2 linked regions of the Pelodiscus sinensis genome follow. The protein of the gene in region 1 purifies or fractionates together with the protein of each later gene. This does not show direct contact. Links are inferred from orthologs where the notes say so. Each region holds a gene or a part of one and is shown on either strand. Other genes may lie near its edges.

Region 1 (8,054 bases):
TGCCCTTACCTGCAAGAAGCGATCAATGATAGCAGCAGTCATGTACATAGTCTCTGGAAGCAGTCTGAATTTCATCTGAACCTGTATAAGCCAGTCAATTAGTATAGCTCGCATATTTCCAGTAACTTCCTGTCCTGCCAGGTATTTTGGTCTGACAGCTTGTTGCTTCTGCACGGAAGAAGAGTATGCATTACTACAGCAATTCCTGCATATAGGGAAGCACTGGCACCATCTTCTTGGCCAACAAAGAGACAGAATCTAGCTTCTTTGGCCAAGAGATATTTGAAGGCAATAGTATAAGGCAGTTGTTAGCTATATTACCTTGGAGTAATAATGCCAGTGCTGGTAGTTTAAGCCAACTAGTTTTGCTTATCACTTACATTTTGAGTCTGTTAGAAAATGTATGCAGTTTATGTATAGCCTGTTGGTCAGAGGCTATTGAGAAACACGGTCTGATAAATGGAACTTGGTGGGAGAAGGAATCTGAGAGAAACCAGAACTATGTGGCTCAAAAACTTCTCACCAAACAGAAGTTGGTCCAATAAGCCTATCTTACCCTTCATTCTCCTAGCTGGTTGCTGGATTAAGGGAAAGATTTACTGCAAGGAATAAGACTCCTTGCACCTTAGGGATACCCAAAGGTCTAGAAAGAGAGGTCCAGTTTCTCAAGTAGCAATTGCACCAGAGAGGTGGTAACAGTCAGGGTAAAGTAGAATGACAGAAGATATGGTTCTTGTTTATACCAACCTCAAGATCTCTCAGATAGCTATAGATGTCCTTTACATATTCACTGCAGAGATTTGGGTCAGCACCATCATCTGCATCTACATCTCTCACTTCAAGCAAGACATCAGAAAAAGCCTGGCACAACATCTCCTCTGCTGGCACACATCCAGAGGTCTCCATTGGGCTTGGGGATGGAGATTCCAACTGGGGACAAAGTTTAAAATGGAGTACCCATAACTGCTACTGAAGACAACACTTCAGAAGAGAGGTCTCTGAAAGTTAGGCCATTAAGATTTGTAGATCAGGTCTATAGCAATCAGACTGACAATACTACAATGTTACTAAAGCCATGACAAACTACATCAGACCTCCACAGATGTATCACAATGATACAAGGGTGCAATAGAGTAACAGTATAGAAACTTAGTATGTAAGCTAGTTATATCACCCCCCAACAGAACTGAGTTCAAAAGATAGGACTACACAAACTTGATACAAGTAGTAAATCACAGCATCCCCAATGCCAGGTTTGGCCAAGACTGTTTCATAAGTCAGTGTTTGTAATGTCACAAGATATCCTATGTTGCAGGATGGGAGTGCTTGTTTTTAGTAGGAGCCATTTGAGATGGATGTCTACTAAGGGATGGTATCCTATAGACTACCTTTAGGTAACCAGGATTTCAAGTCCCAGGCTAAGAACATAGCCTAATAGCCATATGTGTACATCAGTAGCCCCTCTAGACCAGCATCCAGTCTAATAAAAGCCCATGCCAGATTCATTACCACCACACGGCAATTATCCTCACCTATTGACTACTCCCAGGTTTTGGCAGGTTCCACCAGACTTCTGCATGTTCTTAGGCATTCTGCCTCAGTCCCTCCCTCCCATCTCATCTGTAAAGTGAGATTTTACTGCTCTACCTCATTGGCAGGAGCACACCGAAAATCTGAGACAAAGACTGTTCTATACTAAAGTTTCACACAGTTGGCTTGTATATGAAGATTAGAGATGTATAATGTAGCTGCATAACTGTCAATTTTTCTATACACAAGCCAACTATGTAGTTAGACTACTATTTAAGTTACCAGCACCTTAAAGACTAACAAAACAGGTAGTTAAGTTACCTAAACACAGCATTACACTAGCTACAGAGTAGAATCTTGTATTGACCTAGCTATACATTCAGGAGGGTGTATTGCCTGCACTGGCAGAAGAGCCCTCTCAATGGGAGGAGGTGTACACTGAAGCACTTCAAGTGCAGCTGTAGCCTTTCAAATGCTACTGTGGAGTCGCTAAATAATCCATTCACAGACTGCTAGGGAGTTCACCAATGCTCCAGGGAAGAGGGCAAAGCCTGCAGGGTCAGTGATGGGAGAAACAGGCTCAACAGGGAGGCGCTAAGCCAGGCAGGAATCGGTGAGGTCAGGGTTGGTTTGGAGCGTGAAGAAGCGTGTCCCTCTTCCAGGCTTGCTAGGATCCCTGCTGGTTGTGGTTAGCTCAGAGCAGGGGCTGGATGCCGGCTGGCACTGCACTAATACCTTAGCAGGCTCCGGCACTGGGTTCTGCTCCTTAACCGGCTCGTTCACCTTCTCCGCGGCTCTCGTGGTTTTCTTGGCCAGGGGCTTCACGGCGGCGACGGGCAGTTTCGCTTCCTAGAGAGAAGAGGGGGCCGTGAGCGTCCCAGGCTCGGGCTTCTCGGGGCTTCGGCGGGATAGGCTCTGGCCTTACCTTTTTAGGAGGCGCTTTGGGCGGCTGCTTGCACACTTTGTTACCGATGTCGCCCAGGGCGGTTCTCGGCCTGAGGCCGGGCTTGGCAGCAGCCGCTTCCCGCTTGACGGCGGCCACATTGCTCTTCACTTGGTTCTCGGCGTGGACTCTGGTGTTCTGCGGAGAAGAGCGCCCCGTCAGCGCGGCAGCCCTGCCGGGAAGGGGACGCCGGGCACCCCCAAACCCTAGCCTCCTAGACCAGGCTCTGCTCAGGGCGGAGCTGCGGCGAGCCCGTTAGCCGGCCTTACCCGAGCCCCTGCACTAGCGTCCCGCAGCCCGGCGAGCAAGCTGGGGACGGAGCCGCTCTTAGCCCCAGGCCCGAGACACGGAGCAACAGCCGCAGCCAGACTGAGCACACGTAGACCCCGCTAATAAGGTCACTCCCCCACCCGCCCGCAGAAGAAATGGCTGCAGCCCGCCCGCGAAGGAAACCCGCCGGGGCTCCACAGGGTGACCCCTTCCTCCCGCCACTTACCCTGCTGACCCGCAGCGCCATGGCCCCTCCTGCACCACAAAGCCCTGAACTCCGGCTGCGCCGCTGCACCTTCAGCTGCCGGGCCTAGTGCGTGCGACTCCTGTCCCCACAGCTGCCCGGCTCAGAACACGAATGCACAACTCCCCAGCAGCCCTTGCCTGCAGGTTTAAACCACGCACCAAACTCCGCTCATTGGCTGCCCCCTCGTCTTCCCTCGATTCTCATTGGCCGCTCGCTGTTCCACCCCGAATGCGTTTCCGTGGAGACAGGGTGCTGATTCCTCTAGACGTTCGAAAAGGGGGCGGTGATTGTTTGTAGCAGGTGACGGCGTGATGCCTTTATGATTTAATCTCTGACGCTTGGCTGGGGACAGAGTTGGGGTGGGCAATGGAGTGTAGCTAAAAGAGTCTCAGGCTACCAGTATTTCAATAGTCGTGTACTGTGGCCATTCATCTCATCCCCTTAACAAGGAATCCCATGCAAGTTCTGCTTTGGGGAAACAATTAATTTAATATTCTGCATGGGGTCTATCCAGCTTTGTTTCTTGATAGTGCTGGTTCTCTAGGGGTTAGTCACTACCACTGGAACTTCACTATACTTTACGGTTCAGTAGTCACCCTCAGTCTAGATAAGGCATTAAATATTTAACTCTCTGTGCCTGAATTAATGTTTTTAATAAGATGGAATCTCAGCCTTATTGATATGTTGGGTGAAACAGGTAAACTGGGGAAAAGATGTATAGGGGAGAGCCTGGGGTATTTATGTCTGCTGGAGCAGAAATCCAGGACTGAAGGGGGAGATGGTTATGTGGACTGCAAGTGGGATAGGGAGCAGGCCAGTCCACTCTTTTTCATAGGGCTGTGGTAAAGTATGCCTTGTACAAAGTATGCCTTGTGAGGTATCATTTGAAAACATATAATTTGCTTATCTATATTGTTCTGGTAAAATGTGCATGCAAACATTGTATGTAAAGTTATAAGATGTTCTTTTATGATGTTACTAAGACATATTCCAATTTTGTCACACACCCGTTCTCCAGAGACAAAATCATGACTTCTTTGTACCCAGAGTCATGCGGAGAAGAGCTCTGGTAAATATTTTCAAGCCCACTTGATCCTCAGTATCTCAGGAGGCAAATGTCCTGAGCCCTAGCATACCCTGCTGGGCTGAAACATGAGTCTGGTGCCTCCAGTAGTACAGAAGCCATGAGCCCCAGTGCACTCCAGACTGATGACCTCTGCAAGACCAAAGCCCTGACATTTCACCCCAGGGCTGAAGCCCTGAGACTAAAGACTCACACAGGGCTAAAGCCCTAAGCCCCGGCACTTCCCACTGCTGAAGCACACCCCTGAATGGGATGTGAGGGTTCTGGGAAATAAACTCTGAGAATTAAAGCCCTAGAAAAAAGTCTAGCTAATGCCTCAGCCACGTGTCCACAAGATCAAATGGATCATTACCTGCATAAGTGGCCATTCTATGGAAAGAAAAGGGTGTAGACAAAAAATCTACATATTGAGAATTGACCATACAGACTTTGTCTCCTGGACGTTAGCTGGGGATGATTCATATAGAAGAGAAGGAACTGTAACAGTGGGTAATGAACCCATTTTAATGGGGTCACCAGGGCTGACTGAGACTTGCTGGGACTCGGGTAAAGCTGAAGTTGAGTGTGTCAGCTCTGGACAGCAGAGCTCAATTTCAGGCTCCCTGCTTGAGGCTGAATCCTGTGAGGCTCAGGCTTTGGCCCACCCCATCTGGAGCAGTAGGCTTTGGGTAGACTAAGGCTACAGCCCCTCCTCCATTTGCTGTATAGTAATTTTTGATGTCAGAGGGGGGCTGCAGTGCAATGAAGTTCGAGAATCCCTGAACTATAAGAAAGGAGAGAAATGTCTTTCAAGTCATCTCTATGCAGGGCATTGGTAACGTGATTAACAAAAGCAGCATTGGGGCAAGAGGGTGATCCTGAGATTGCACAAGTAATAGTGTGGTGAGAGCATTTTGCTTGGACTTCACTCTTTATCTTGTTCAGTTAGACATTACTGTAATTGCATTTTACTTTTATCATAACCAACTATGACTTTTATGCATCATTACCTGTGGTCACTTCAAAGTATATTTAGATTGAAGTGTCGGGAAAATCCTTTGACGTAGGAAGATTTGTGCATATCATGTACTAGTAATAAAATGGCGGTTTTTATGTGAGTTTATACTGTCCAGGGGAGGGTTTGGCAATTCAAGACATACACTTCTGAAAGTTTGGTGGTGGAATTTCCTGGTGTTGCTCTTCATGAATAGTTGGCCATAACATTCATGTATGGAGTAACTTACATGTCCAATGGCTTGCTGCTAAGATTTGGTCAGTTTACAGTTACCTCAATTGCCAATACTAGAATTCAAACTTGATCACAGTATGTGAAGATGGCCCCGAGCACTTTGTTTGAGAGACTTGTTCAAATGTTAAACTGCATGATAGCTGTGATCACATAAGGCTACTAGTTTCCTAGCTGGTCAGAGCCTTCCAGAAAACCCAGTAGACAACACAAACCAACCAACCAACCAGGAAAAATTCCTCTTTGGTTAGGATCTACACGTTTCTAGTTTTCTTTCTAATTCAAATACAATATTATCAATTTGGTTCACATACTGTCAGGAGATAATCCTGATTGCACTTCAAGGGTTATCTTGGTTCTGATTAAAGTTGCAAACACATCATAGAGTCATAGAATACTAGGACTGGCAGGGACCTCGAGAAGTCACCGAGTCCAGTCCCCTGCCCTCATGGCAGGACCAAATACTGTCTAGACCATCCCTGATAGACATTTATCTAACCTACTCTTAAATATCTCCAGAGATGGAGATTCCACAACCTCCCTGGGCAATTTATTCCAGTGTTTGACTACCCTGACAGTTAGGAACTTTTTCCTAATGTCCAACCTAAACCTCCCTTGCTGCAGTTTAAGCCCATTGCTTCTTGTTCTATCCTCAGAGGCCAAGATGAACAAATTTTCTCCCTCCTCCTTATGACACCCTTTGATACTTGAAAACGGCTATCCTGTCCCCCTCCCCTCAGTCTTCTCTTTTCTAAACTAAACAAACACGTTTATTTCAGCCTTCCTTCATAGATCGTGTTCTCTAGACCTTTAATCATTCTTGTTGCTCTTCTCTGGACCCTCTCCAATTTCTCCACATCTTTCTTGAAATGTGGTGCCCAGAACTGGACACAATACTCCAACTGAGGCCTAACCAGCGCAAAGTAGAGCGGAAGAATGACTTCTCGTGTCTTGCTTACAACACACCTGTTAATGCATCCCAGAATCATGTTTGCGTTTTTTGCAACAGCATCACGCTGCTGACTCATATTCAGCTTGTGGTCCACTATAACCCCTAGATCCCTTTCTGCCGTACTCCTTCCTACACAGTCGCTTCCCATTCTGTAGGTGTGAAACTGATTGTTCCTTCCTAAGTGGAGCGCTTTGCATTTGTCTTTATTAAACTTCAGCCTGTTTACCTCAGACCATTTCTCCAATTTGTCCAGATCATTTTGAATTATGACCCTATCCTCCAGAGCAGTTGCAACCTCTCCCAGCCTCGTATCATCTGCAACTTAATAAGCGTCCTTTTTATGCCAATATCTAAATCGTTGAAGATATTGAACAGAGCTGGTCCCAAAACAGACCCCTGCGGAACCCCACTTGTTATACCTTTCCAGCAGGATGGTGAACCATTAATGACTACTCTCCGAGTACGGTTATCCAGCCAGTTATTCACCCACCTTATAGTAGCCCCATCTAAGTTGTATTTGCCCAGTTCATTGATAAGAATATCATGCAAGACCATATCAAATGCCTTATTAAAGTCTAGGTATACCACATCCATCGCTTCTCATCTACAAGACTTGTTATGCTATCAAAGAAAGCTATCAGATTGGTTTGACATTTTTTCTTTACAAATCCATGCTGGCTGTTACCCATCACCTTGCCACCTTCCAAGCGTTTACAGATGACTTCCTTAATTACTTGCTCCATTATCTTCCCTGGCACAGAAGTTAAACTAACTGATCTGTAGTTTCCTGGGTTGTTCTTAATTCACTTTTTATACATGGGCACTATATTTGCCCTTTTCCAGTCTTCTGGAATCTCTCTTGTCTCCCATGATTTTCCAAAGATGATAGCTAGAGGCTCAGATACCTCCTCTATCAGCTCCTTGAGTATTCTAGGATGCATTACATCAGGTCCTGGTGACTTGCCGGCATCTAACTTTTCTAGGTGATTTTTAACTTGTTTTTTTTTTAATTTTATCTTCTAAACCTACCCCCGTCCCACTAGCATTCACTATGTTAGGCATTCCTTCAGACTTCTCGGTGAAGACCGAAACAAAGAAGTCATTAAGCATCTCTGCCATTTCCAAGTTTCCTGTTATTGTTTCTCCCTCCTCACTGACCAGTGGGCCTACCCTGTCCTTGGCCTTCCTCTTGCTTCTAATGTATTTATAAAAAGTCTTCTTGTTTCCCTTTATTCCCGTAGCTAGTTTGAGCTTATTTTGTGCCTTTGTCTTTCTAATCTTGCCCCTGTATTCCTGTGTTGTTTGCCTATATTCATCCTTTGTAATTTGTCCTACTTTCCATTTTTGGTTAAGCCAAGGCGGTCTTTTGCCGTATTTTCAATCTTTCTGACGTAGCAGAATAGCTTGCTTTTGGGCCTGTAATAATGTCCCTTTGAAAAACTGCCAACTCTCCTCAGTTGTTTTTCCCCTCAGTCTTGATTCCCATGGGACCTTACCTATCAGCTCTCTGAGTTTACCAAAATCCACTCAGATATATATACATATAAATACAACATATACACGTGTAAGATTACCGGAATAAGGAAATGCCATTTTTACATTCTTTCGGCCACAGCTACTTTTTGAACGATCAGTCCAGTAACTGCAGAAATTATTCTAATTCAGCACTATTGGAAATGAAGGAAATGGTACAGAATAGGAATATCAACATGTAGATGACTACAGGATTAACCGATAAACCTAGTCTTATCCATTCATCTTGTTGACTACATTCATTCTCTCCTTCCTTGCTGCTTCTGTATC
Region 2 (8,489 bases), on another chromosome or scaffold:
CTCATACTTGTTTGAACCTGATATGGGCCTCAGTGCACTTTAATGACAAAAAGTTCCACAGGTTAACAGTGCATTTATAGAATCTCAGAATCCTAGGACTGGCAGAGACCTCAGGAGGCATCCAGTCCAGCCCCCTGCCCACAGCAGGGCCAACCCCAACTCAATCATCCCATGCCATTTTGTGCAGAAGTCTTTTCTTTCACCTGATACCCATTTAAAAGTTCACCATGTTCGACTGGTCCTTTCTCTTTAACTATGTTCCTTTTAAACTAAATAGCAAGGTTTTCTTTAATCCCCCACTCCCTTTGTGGATGCCGTTCTTCATTTACAAGAATATAGCGGCATCAGCCACCTTCCAAGCCCCCTTCTTGGACAGATGAAGCTCTTTAGCCCTTTACCTCAGTTTCCCTTCTTTTAGGACTCTTTCACCTTCACAAACAGGCTTCTCTCCTGCAAATACCCCTCCCTAAGGTTGTTATTAATATAAACAGAACCCAGTGTTCCAAAATAAAGTCCACAGAGTCTAACTCAATTTTCTGCTTTTAACAGGCCACTTCCTGCTCTACCTTACTAGAATCTTGTTTCTCCTGGTGCCTCAAACACTTTTATAACCTTCTGCAACTACAAAAACCTCTCAAGTCTTTATCACAGCTTCCCCCTTTATAAGGTCCAGATATCTTCCCTTAAGCCCAGCTGAGCAGCAGGTCACAGGCACTGGACCTCCGCCTGCTTAAAAGGGCCAGTCACACAGTGACAAGTGTCACTTGGCTATGGAACCATAATGCTTTTGTTCTCTGTGTAACAGACCTTTCTGTTTCTAAATCCACTCCTTGCATGCTGAGTTGGCAGCCATTTTGTTCTCATAGTCCAATATAACTTAAAAAACAACAAAAAGTCTAGCAGCACCTTAAAGACTAACAAAACATGTAGCTGGTATCATGAACTTTTGTGGGTGCAACCCACTTCTTCAGCCCATCTCCATGTTTTGTTAGACTTTAAGGTGCTACTAGACTATTTGTTGTTTTTTAAGTTTTTCCTGTTACAGACTAACTCGGCTCCCCCTCTGAAGTTTTCCAATATTTCTAATGGTAATCAGAAAAGACACACTGTGCTCTCTAATGGTGAAGACTTTACTGTTGTTCTTACTCTTGGTTGCTGCTGTCCTCAATCTAAAGTGAAGTCCCTTGTTCTGGCTTACACAACTCTCTGAATTTTGTGGCTGGCGAAACACAAGGTACATTTGCCTTTGCTTTCAAAATGAATTAAAACACATGAATTCAAAAATTAGAGTTGGGCAGATTGATAAGAGCGTGTGAGGTAGATGGGTTTGTTCATGGATACGTTAGTCACTGCTACATCAAAGCTCACATCAATCTAAAATCCTGTGTTTAACTATCCCCCTGAACTTCGGGAAGTTCACTCCTGATCCCAGCTTCCCAGGGCCTATCTCTGTGCCCTAGGATTATATCTGTTAGCTGATTTCATACTCCTGGGATGTGTCTGCATCCTGTGTTATAAGGGGACTTGCAGAGAAAAGCTCTGCCTTGGTCATGAGACAGTCTCCAACAGAACATGCCCAGACATATTATCTGAGAGAGCAGGCCAGCCTGAAATGTGCCACTCTGCATTGTGGAAGGGGTTAAATCCAAAACAGCAACAATCGGAGGTGCTGAACGTTCAGCAAGCACCCTGGAAACAGAAGATTAGATGCTTTATTTAGCACGTATATTTCTGATCCAAAAGAGCCTCCCAAATAGATGTGAAACACACCCAGCCTCAGCTGGAGCTGTACCATGGCAAGCCACCAATGCAGACAGGGCTTGGGTGTAAAACTTCGTTGCCCTAGAGCAGGGGTGTCCAAACTTTTTTCAACGAGGGCCAGATTTGATGAAGTGAACATGCGTGAGGGCCGACCATTTTGCCTGACATTCTTTGAACCATTAAAATTAAACGCAAATTAACTATTTTATGCAAAGTTTATTGCACACGGCATACTTTTCATTTCGTCACATGGATGACAAATCTAAACAGGTGTTAAATCACTCTGCCTTTCATATCTGAAGGCCAGATGAAAAAAAAATCCAGGAAGCTGAAATATATGTCAGGAACATTGTAAAGTACATTACATATTATTGGTAATAAAGGTTGTCTGTCAACTTTTAAGTTCAAAAAATATGAACAGGAACATAACACCAAGTATACACATTGTGTCCAAATATATTTATAACTGATTTAGACCAACTGACATTAACTGAGATTTTACAATGTATTCATCTCAATACATATGGATTCGTTGGGGGCCATAAAAGATAGATATTGCCAAATTACCTGGGGATATTGCCAAATTAAACCGGAACACGGGCCGCAATTGGCCCGCGGGCCGGACTTTGGACACGCCTGCCCTAGTGAGTTAGTTAGCCTTGCTTTTATACAGGTTTGCAGTGATGCGGTGACCCCAGTACAGACAAGTCCTGAGATAAGGGGAAGGCAGATCTTACACTTCAGGATATAAACTGGTCACAGAAGAGATCAGGAAGGAATCTTTCTCCCTCCGTCTTTCCTCTCTTATATGCAACAATTATGTAACTGTTTAGGAGCGCAGGCTCTGATCTTCTCAGGGCACTAAAGAGCTTAATTTCCATTCACTGCCATGTGAGTTAGCTGCCTGTATTCCCTTGTGGGCCATGGGGAGGTCGTTGTGTTTTGGTTTTGCTCTGAAGCAGCAGATACGGTAGCTGCTACAGAAGCTCGGGACGGAATGAATTGGGTCTGCTCTGGTATGGAAACCCTATTGAGAGAGTTAGTTTTCGACTGCCTTGAGCCAAACCAAAATCTTGCAGCACGGGAGCCCCTGGGAAGTCAGAGGGCAGTGCTCCCAGCTGTCCTTACCCATACCCAGAATACGCAGCATTGTAGGGCAGTGTTTCTCAACCTTTTTTATTAAAGTACCCCAGGACCCACAGTTTTCAGACACACAATTTTATTCTACCATTGCAACGCATTTGTTTAAACAACTTCATTGTAGCTGGGCAGACAAAATTTTTGGGTGTAAAAAGTACAAAAACAAAGCGCTGTAAAAAAACAAAAATTCAGTGTTCTCCACATTTCAGTTGTGTTGAAGTACCCCCCAGACTTCTCTCAAGTACCCATACCACTTGTTGAGAAACACTGGCATAGGGGACCCAAAAATTTGGGGCACCACTGGATCTTAATGTCCATTCACCCACCTCTTCCTATTCCCTTCTGTGGCTCTGCTTCCTCAGCAGAGGATCTAGTTAACTGACAAGTGACAAAGCCTGCCAGTCCCATTAGCAGAACACTGATCCTGTGCAAGAGCCATTCTGGTGGAAATGAAGCCATGTCCCAGGCATATGCCAACCCCAGGTCTACTGTCAGTTTCTGAATGCACTGAGCACTAATGTACACAGGACCTGGGTTTAAAATTTGCTTTATCATATTTCATTAGTGTGTAGCTGAATATTATAAAAGACTCACCCCGTGGGGCACCGGGGCACCAGTGTAATTACACCGTAGGGCCCCATGAACCCTAAGGAGGGCCCTGGCAATACTAGTAGCTAGGAGCAAATGCCCTGAAGTTCCTACCAGTGAGCTATGAAGCCTAGATCTGAACATTAACAGTTCATCCAGGACCGGGCTAGCCACCCTCTAGCCAGATGTGCCAAGCCGGTAACATTAGGAGAGACCTCACCTGCTCCTCCGCAGCCACTTCGATCCTGGTGACTGGAAGGGTCGGGGCGCAGATACACTGGCTGGTTCCGGGAGCTGGCCGTGGGACCGAGATTCTCAGCTAGTGCAGCGGCTGCACTGGCGCCTCCTGGCAGCTGATCCAAGCTGTGGTACTCAGCGGCCGGGCCGTGGGGTTAGCTCAGCCCCCAGCAGCGCAGGCTGCCACATATCACCAGAGCCCCCAGTCCGGGCTACCGAGCTGGTCGCAGCGCCTGGGACTGGCTGCGGGGGGCGGGGGAAATCAGCTGTGCGAGCAGGTGGGGAGGACGGGGGAGGAGCCCTGTGCCTGCTTATCTGGAGGCTGGCAGGGCGCAGCGCGTAGAGCGCAGCGGCTTGGAGAGGCGCAGGGCGGGGAGACTGCGGCGAGGTGAGAGGGCGGGGGGGATCCTGTCTTTGTCCCCGTTAATCCGGCCAGGTGAGAGGGCGGGGGGGATCCTGTCTTTGTCCCCGTTAATCCGGCGAGGTGAGAGGGCAGGGGGGATCCTGTCTTTGTCCCCGTTAATCCGGCGAGGTGAGAGGGCGGGGGGGATCCTGTCTTTGTCCCCGTTAATCCGGCGAGGTGAGGGGGCGGGGGGGATCCTGTCTTTGTCCCCGTTAATCCGGCGAGGTGAGAGGGCGGGGGGATCCTGTCTTTGTCCCCGTTAATCCGGCGAGGTGAGAGGGCAGGGGGGATCCTGTCTTTGTCCCCGTTAATCCGGCGAGGTGAGAGGGCGGGGGGGATCCTGTCTTTGTCCCCGTTAATCCGGCGAGGTGAGGGGGCGGGGGGATCCTGTCTTTGTCCCCGTTAATCCGGCGAGGTGAGGGGGCGGGGGGATCCTGTCTTTGTCCCCGTTAATCCGGCGAGGTGAGGGGGCGGGGGGATCCTGTCTTTGTCCCCGTTAATCCGGCGAGGTGAGAGGGCAGGGGGGATCCTGTCTTTGTCCCCGTTAATCCGTCCCCTTCCCCGCCGCAAGGCTGCTCCGCGCACCATCAGCGACCCTCGCTCTTCCGGGGCGCGCCGTTGAGCGGAGGGGTCTTTCCAGCTCTTTGGCCCCCAGACACCGGAGCGGGGTACCGCTCTCACCCCCTTCCCGACACGTAACGGGGATCCCACCCTGGGGCGCTTGAGGCTAAGCGCGGCCCCTCTCCGAGGGGTCACCCGGCACTTCCCGGGGCGCGGCCGGGGATTTCTCCCAGTCCCTCTGCTCTGGCGCTCTCGGTTTCGCTGGCTGGGGAGCCTGCCGGGACCGGCCCCCCCGCTCGGGGGCTGCGAGAGCGAAGATCCCGGCGCTACCCTGATCCGGCGCCGGGAACCTATTGCAGGGTTTGGGCTGCCGCCGCCCCGAGGGCTGGGACTGGGGCGCCCCCCGCCGGCACGAGCAGGGCCAGCGCTGGCGAGGCAACGCCGCTGGGGTCTGCAGGGAGCGCTGGGGCGCGTCGGGGCTCCGAGCGGGGCGCTGCGGCCGGCAGGGCGGGCGGTGCCCGGGCATGCCCCGCGGGGGGGGGGGGGGGGGGCGTTAGTCACACTTGCTATGAGGTAAGAGCCCGGCCCTGCTGCGAGGGCTCCGGAGTCACTGCCAGGCGCGCCCCGGGCTGGGCTTCCCCGAAGCGCCGGGCACAGCCAACCAGGAGGAGCCGTGATCCCGGTGCCGGTCCGAGCTCATGCGGGGCTGACTGCTGGCACCTCCCCCCCCCGCGGCAGTGGCGGGCCCCCGGCGAGGCACAGCCCCGGGGGCAGTTGCCGCAGGTAGCTCGGGAGAGGCCGCGGTGACAGGGCGGGGGGGCTGGCAGCCAGGGGCGGGACCGGATCCGTGAAGGGTGGGCTGGAAGGTGTAAACGCGCAGTGGCTCCGCGCCTAGGCTGCTCCAGATGATGCAAGCGGGCTCCTCTCGGCAGGGAAAGCGTGTGGCATCGGCATGTCCCGGGAGGGGTCGCTGGGCGCACGGGGTGGCTTCCCCCTGCGTCCGGAGTGACTCCTCTAGCCCCTGCCTCTGGTGTGAACGAGAACGGGCATCCCGGCGCCTCTGTCGGGCTGGAGTGTCCTGGGCGATAAACACCCCCTGGTGGGGGACGTGGGGCACTGAAATGCCTGCGCCGCCCCCGCTCATTGCTTACCCGGCTAGTTCCTAGTGCTCCAACTGCCTGCTAGGCTGCGCTGCCTGACAGTCCAGCCGAGTGACCCCAGCCACTTCCTCCCTCCCTCGCCTAGAAACTGCAATGCCTGGAGTACATGGCCGCAGAAGGCTGAACTTTAAAACCTGTCCCTTGTGACTTCCTTCCCTGACTTGGGTGTATGGAGAGGAAGGGGGCTGCACTGAGCTCCAGCCAGTCTCTGTGGAAGTCCTGCTGTCCCTTTCTCTTGCCATAGTCTCCAGCTGCCTCTTGAACCAGATCATGCTGTGATCCACTCAAGGGACTGGTAAAGATGCCCAGCTTCACCAGGAGCAGGTTCCTGAGCTAGGAACAGGCTCCAGGGGTGGAAGATCCCGAAGTGAAGCTGGAACACAGTGTGTTCCTCAAAGAATCCCAAACAGTACTGGAGCAAAATCGCCCCCTATGCTCCTCGCGCACACCGCTCGGCCTGTGGGGCAAATGAGGCAGCAGGGAGATTTGCCCAGGCAGCAAGCTCTCCGCGCTTGGCGTGTGACTGATTCCATCCCTTTGCAACTGGTATCCAGTCACCTGTGGGAAATGGGCTTAGGGGAGTGATGACTCATGTTAGAGCAGTCAGGGTGCGCAGAGCCAGTGACAAGCTGTTTCACTTGCCAACCCAGCTAGGTAAGCACCACCCTGGTGATCACAAACCTTACACTGTATCTGCTACTTGTTCAAGTCTGCAGGACTCTTACATGGGTTCCCAAATTCAGGGGTGTGCCCTGCTGGTGGGGGTGTGAGAAAATCCCAGGGTGGGGCAAGAGGTGACCCAACCACCACCACCCGCAATCCCACCCCAAGTTTTGCTGCTATTTTGGGGGGAGTGGGGCATGAGGGTTTCTCAAAAAATCAAAAAGTTTGGGAACCACTAGCAGAATTGGGAACCACTAGCAGAATGTAACAGGACTTGCAAGAAAACTTCAGTGTATGAAAGGAAAGGAAAATGACTTTGATGCTTCTTAAAGTCCTCAACCACAACCCCCCACTCCACCCCACCCCACCCCACCCCACCCCGGTGTCATCTGACTAAGCGTAATGCTTCAGCCTACACTCCCGACTAATGTGAGGTGGTGCAGTTTGGGGCCTTGCTATGCCTGCAAGGGGCTGAGCTACTTAATGCTACAAGGATAGCTCAGTGGTTTGAGCATTGGCCTGCTAAACCCAGGGTTGTGAGCTCAATCCTTGCAGAGGCCATTTAGGGATTTGGGGCAAAAATTCATCAGGGATGGTACTTGGTTCTGCTGAGAAGGCAGGGGATTGGACTCAATGACCTTTCAAGGTCCCTTCCAGTTCTAGGAGATAAGCAATCTCCATTATTAAATTATATTAAGCTACTTCAGTCTAGGTAGGTATGATGGGAGGGGTCCTCCCAAAGAGGCTGTAGTCCAGCTGGTGGAAGAATTCTCCCATTGACCCAGCATTGTCTAGATCAGTGGTCTCCAACGCAGTACCTGCAGGAGCCATGGTGCCTGCTGGGGCATTTATGTGCACCTGCCGAAATATCTGTGCTGGCCCGGCGCGTGGCACCTGCGCAGTGCCGGCACAGGATGCGTGGGCAGCCCCACCCCCAGGAGCGCGGCACATGCGTGGCCCCACCCCCAGATGCCTGGCACGTGAGCGGCCCCGCCCCTGGGCAACCGGCAGCCACGAAAGGTTGGGGACCACTGGTCTATATGGTGACTAAGGTCTGCTTTACAGCACTGCCCAGGGGTGTGGATTTTTCAGGTCCCTGACTGATGCAGTTATATGAACCCCGGTTCCTAGAATAGAGCAGGCCTTAGACACTGATTTAAGTCTAAGTCAGTGGGAGACATTAAGAGCACTCAGTATCTCTCAGGAGAGGGCCTTCTGCATTCTAATGGGTGTGAGTGTTTGCTTTTAGATGCATGAACAAGTTGAAACTTGTTACCTGCCAGGGCTTGTTTGGACATGCTGGAACTTGACTGCTGGCAGTGATGTCATTCCACTGAATTGTTTACAAGGGTGTGAACTGTCAGGCGACACGAGGGCTGATTTCTATTTTTATCTCTTGGCCTCTTCCTCTCTGGGTGAAAAGGCAGAAACAAAGTGGGATCAATAGAATATTATAGACAGTGAGACTATTAAGTTAAGGTTCAAGATATATAGAAGCCAAATGCCACTGTAGTGCGAAAATCTCTTCCAGATGAATAGCACAAGGCTACATTGTCAGACTGTGTGAGGGCAGAGCTGAACAAACTATTCGCTGCTTATTACAGAGGTGAGAGTTAACTCTGTTACTGGAATACAATGAATTCTGTGTGGAATGAAACCCGGTTCAACCCAAACCATTTTGGGGGTTTTACTTTATAACCATAAAGTAACCCTCAAACTCTTTAGCTCATGAAAATCTCTTTTCAAGCTAAGCATGTAAAATTCCTGAGCTATTTTGGTTGATTTGGTCTGCATTTAAAAAACAACTTTTTAGGGCAGAGAGCTTTGGCTGTAACTGCCTAGTTCTACTGCTAATAACATGGTGCTAGCTTTCTGCTCATGGGCTTGTTGTGACTGCCCTGCTGTGTTCATTGTGGGCTGGACTTCATATGCTGAGCTCTGTTCCTGTTCCTGTTGCAGTCAGGAGAAGCTGCAGG

Evidence for each region.
Region 2: the proteins of CCNB1 (region 1) and CDKN1A purify together in Homo sapiens (affinity purification with western blotting; 8 studies listed by BioGRID and IntAct, with this or other methods). This does not show direct contact. The link is inferred for Pelodiscus sinensis from reciprocal best matches to the Homo sapiens genes CCNB1 and CDKN1A.

What each region holds. Positions count from the first base shown.
Region 1 is NC_134716.1:88,052,147-88,060,200, forward strand, and holds the start of CCNB1 (G2/mitotic-specific cyclin-B1), read right to left. Parts: upstream 3,130-8,054; 5' UTR 2,991-3,129; coding exon 2,970-2,990; intron 2,612-2,969; coding exon 2,456-2,611; intron 2,380-2,455; coding exon 2,266-2,379; intron 931-2,265; coding exon 748-930; intron 169-747; coding exon 10-168; intron 1-9. UniProt on the Homo sapiens protein: Essential for the control of the cell cycle at the G2/M (mitosis) transition.
Region 2 is NC_134737.1:17,145,449-17,153,937, reverse strand, and holds the start of CDKN1A (cyclin-dependent kinase inhibitor 1), read left to right. Parts: upstream 1-5,267; 5' UTR 5,268-5,473; intron 5,474-7,761; exon of another isoform or gene 7,762-8,489. UniProt on the Homo sapiens protein: Plays an important role in controlling cell cycle progression and DNA damage-induced G2 arrest. Involved in p53/TP53 mediated inhibition of cellular proliferation in response to DNA damage.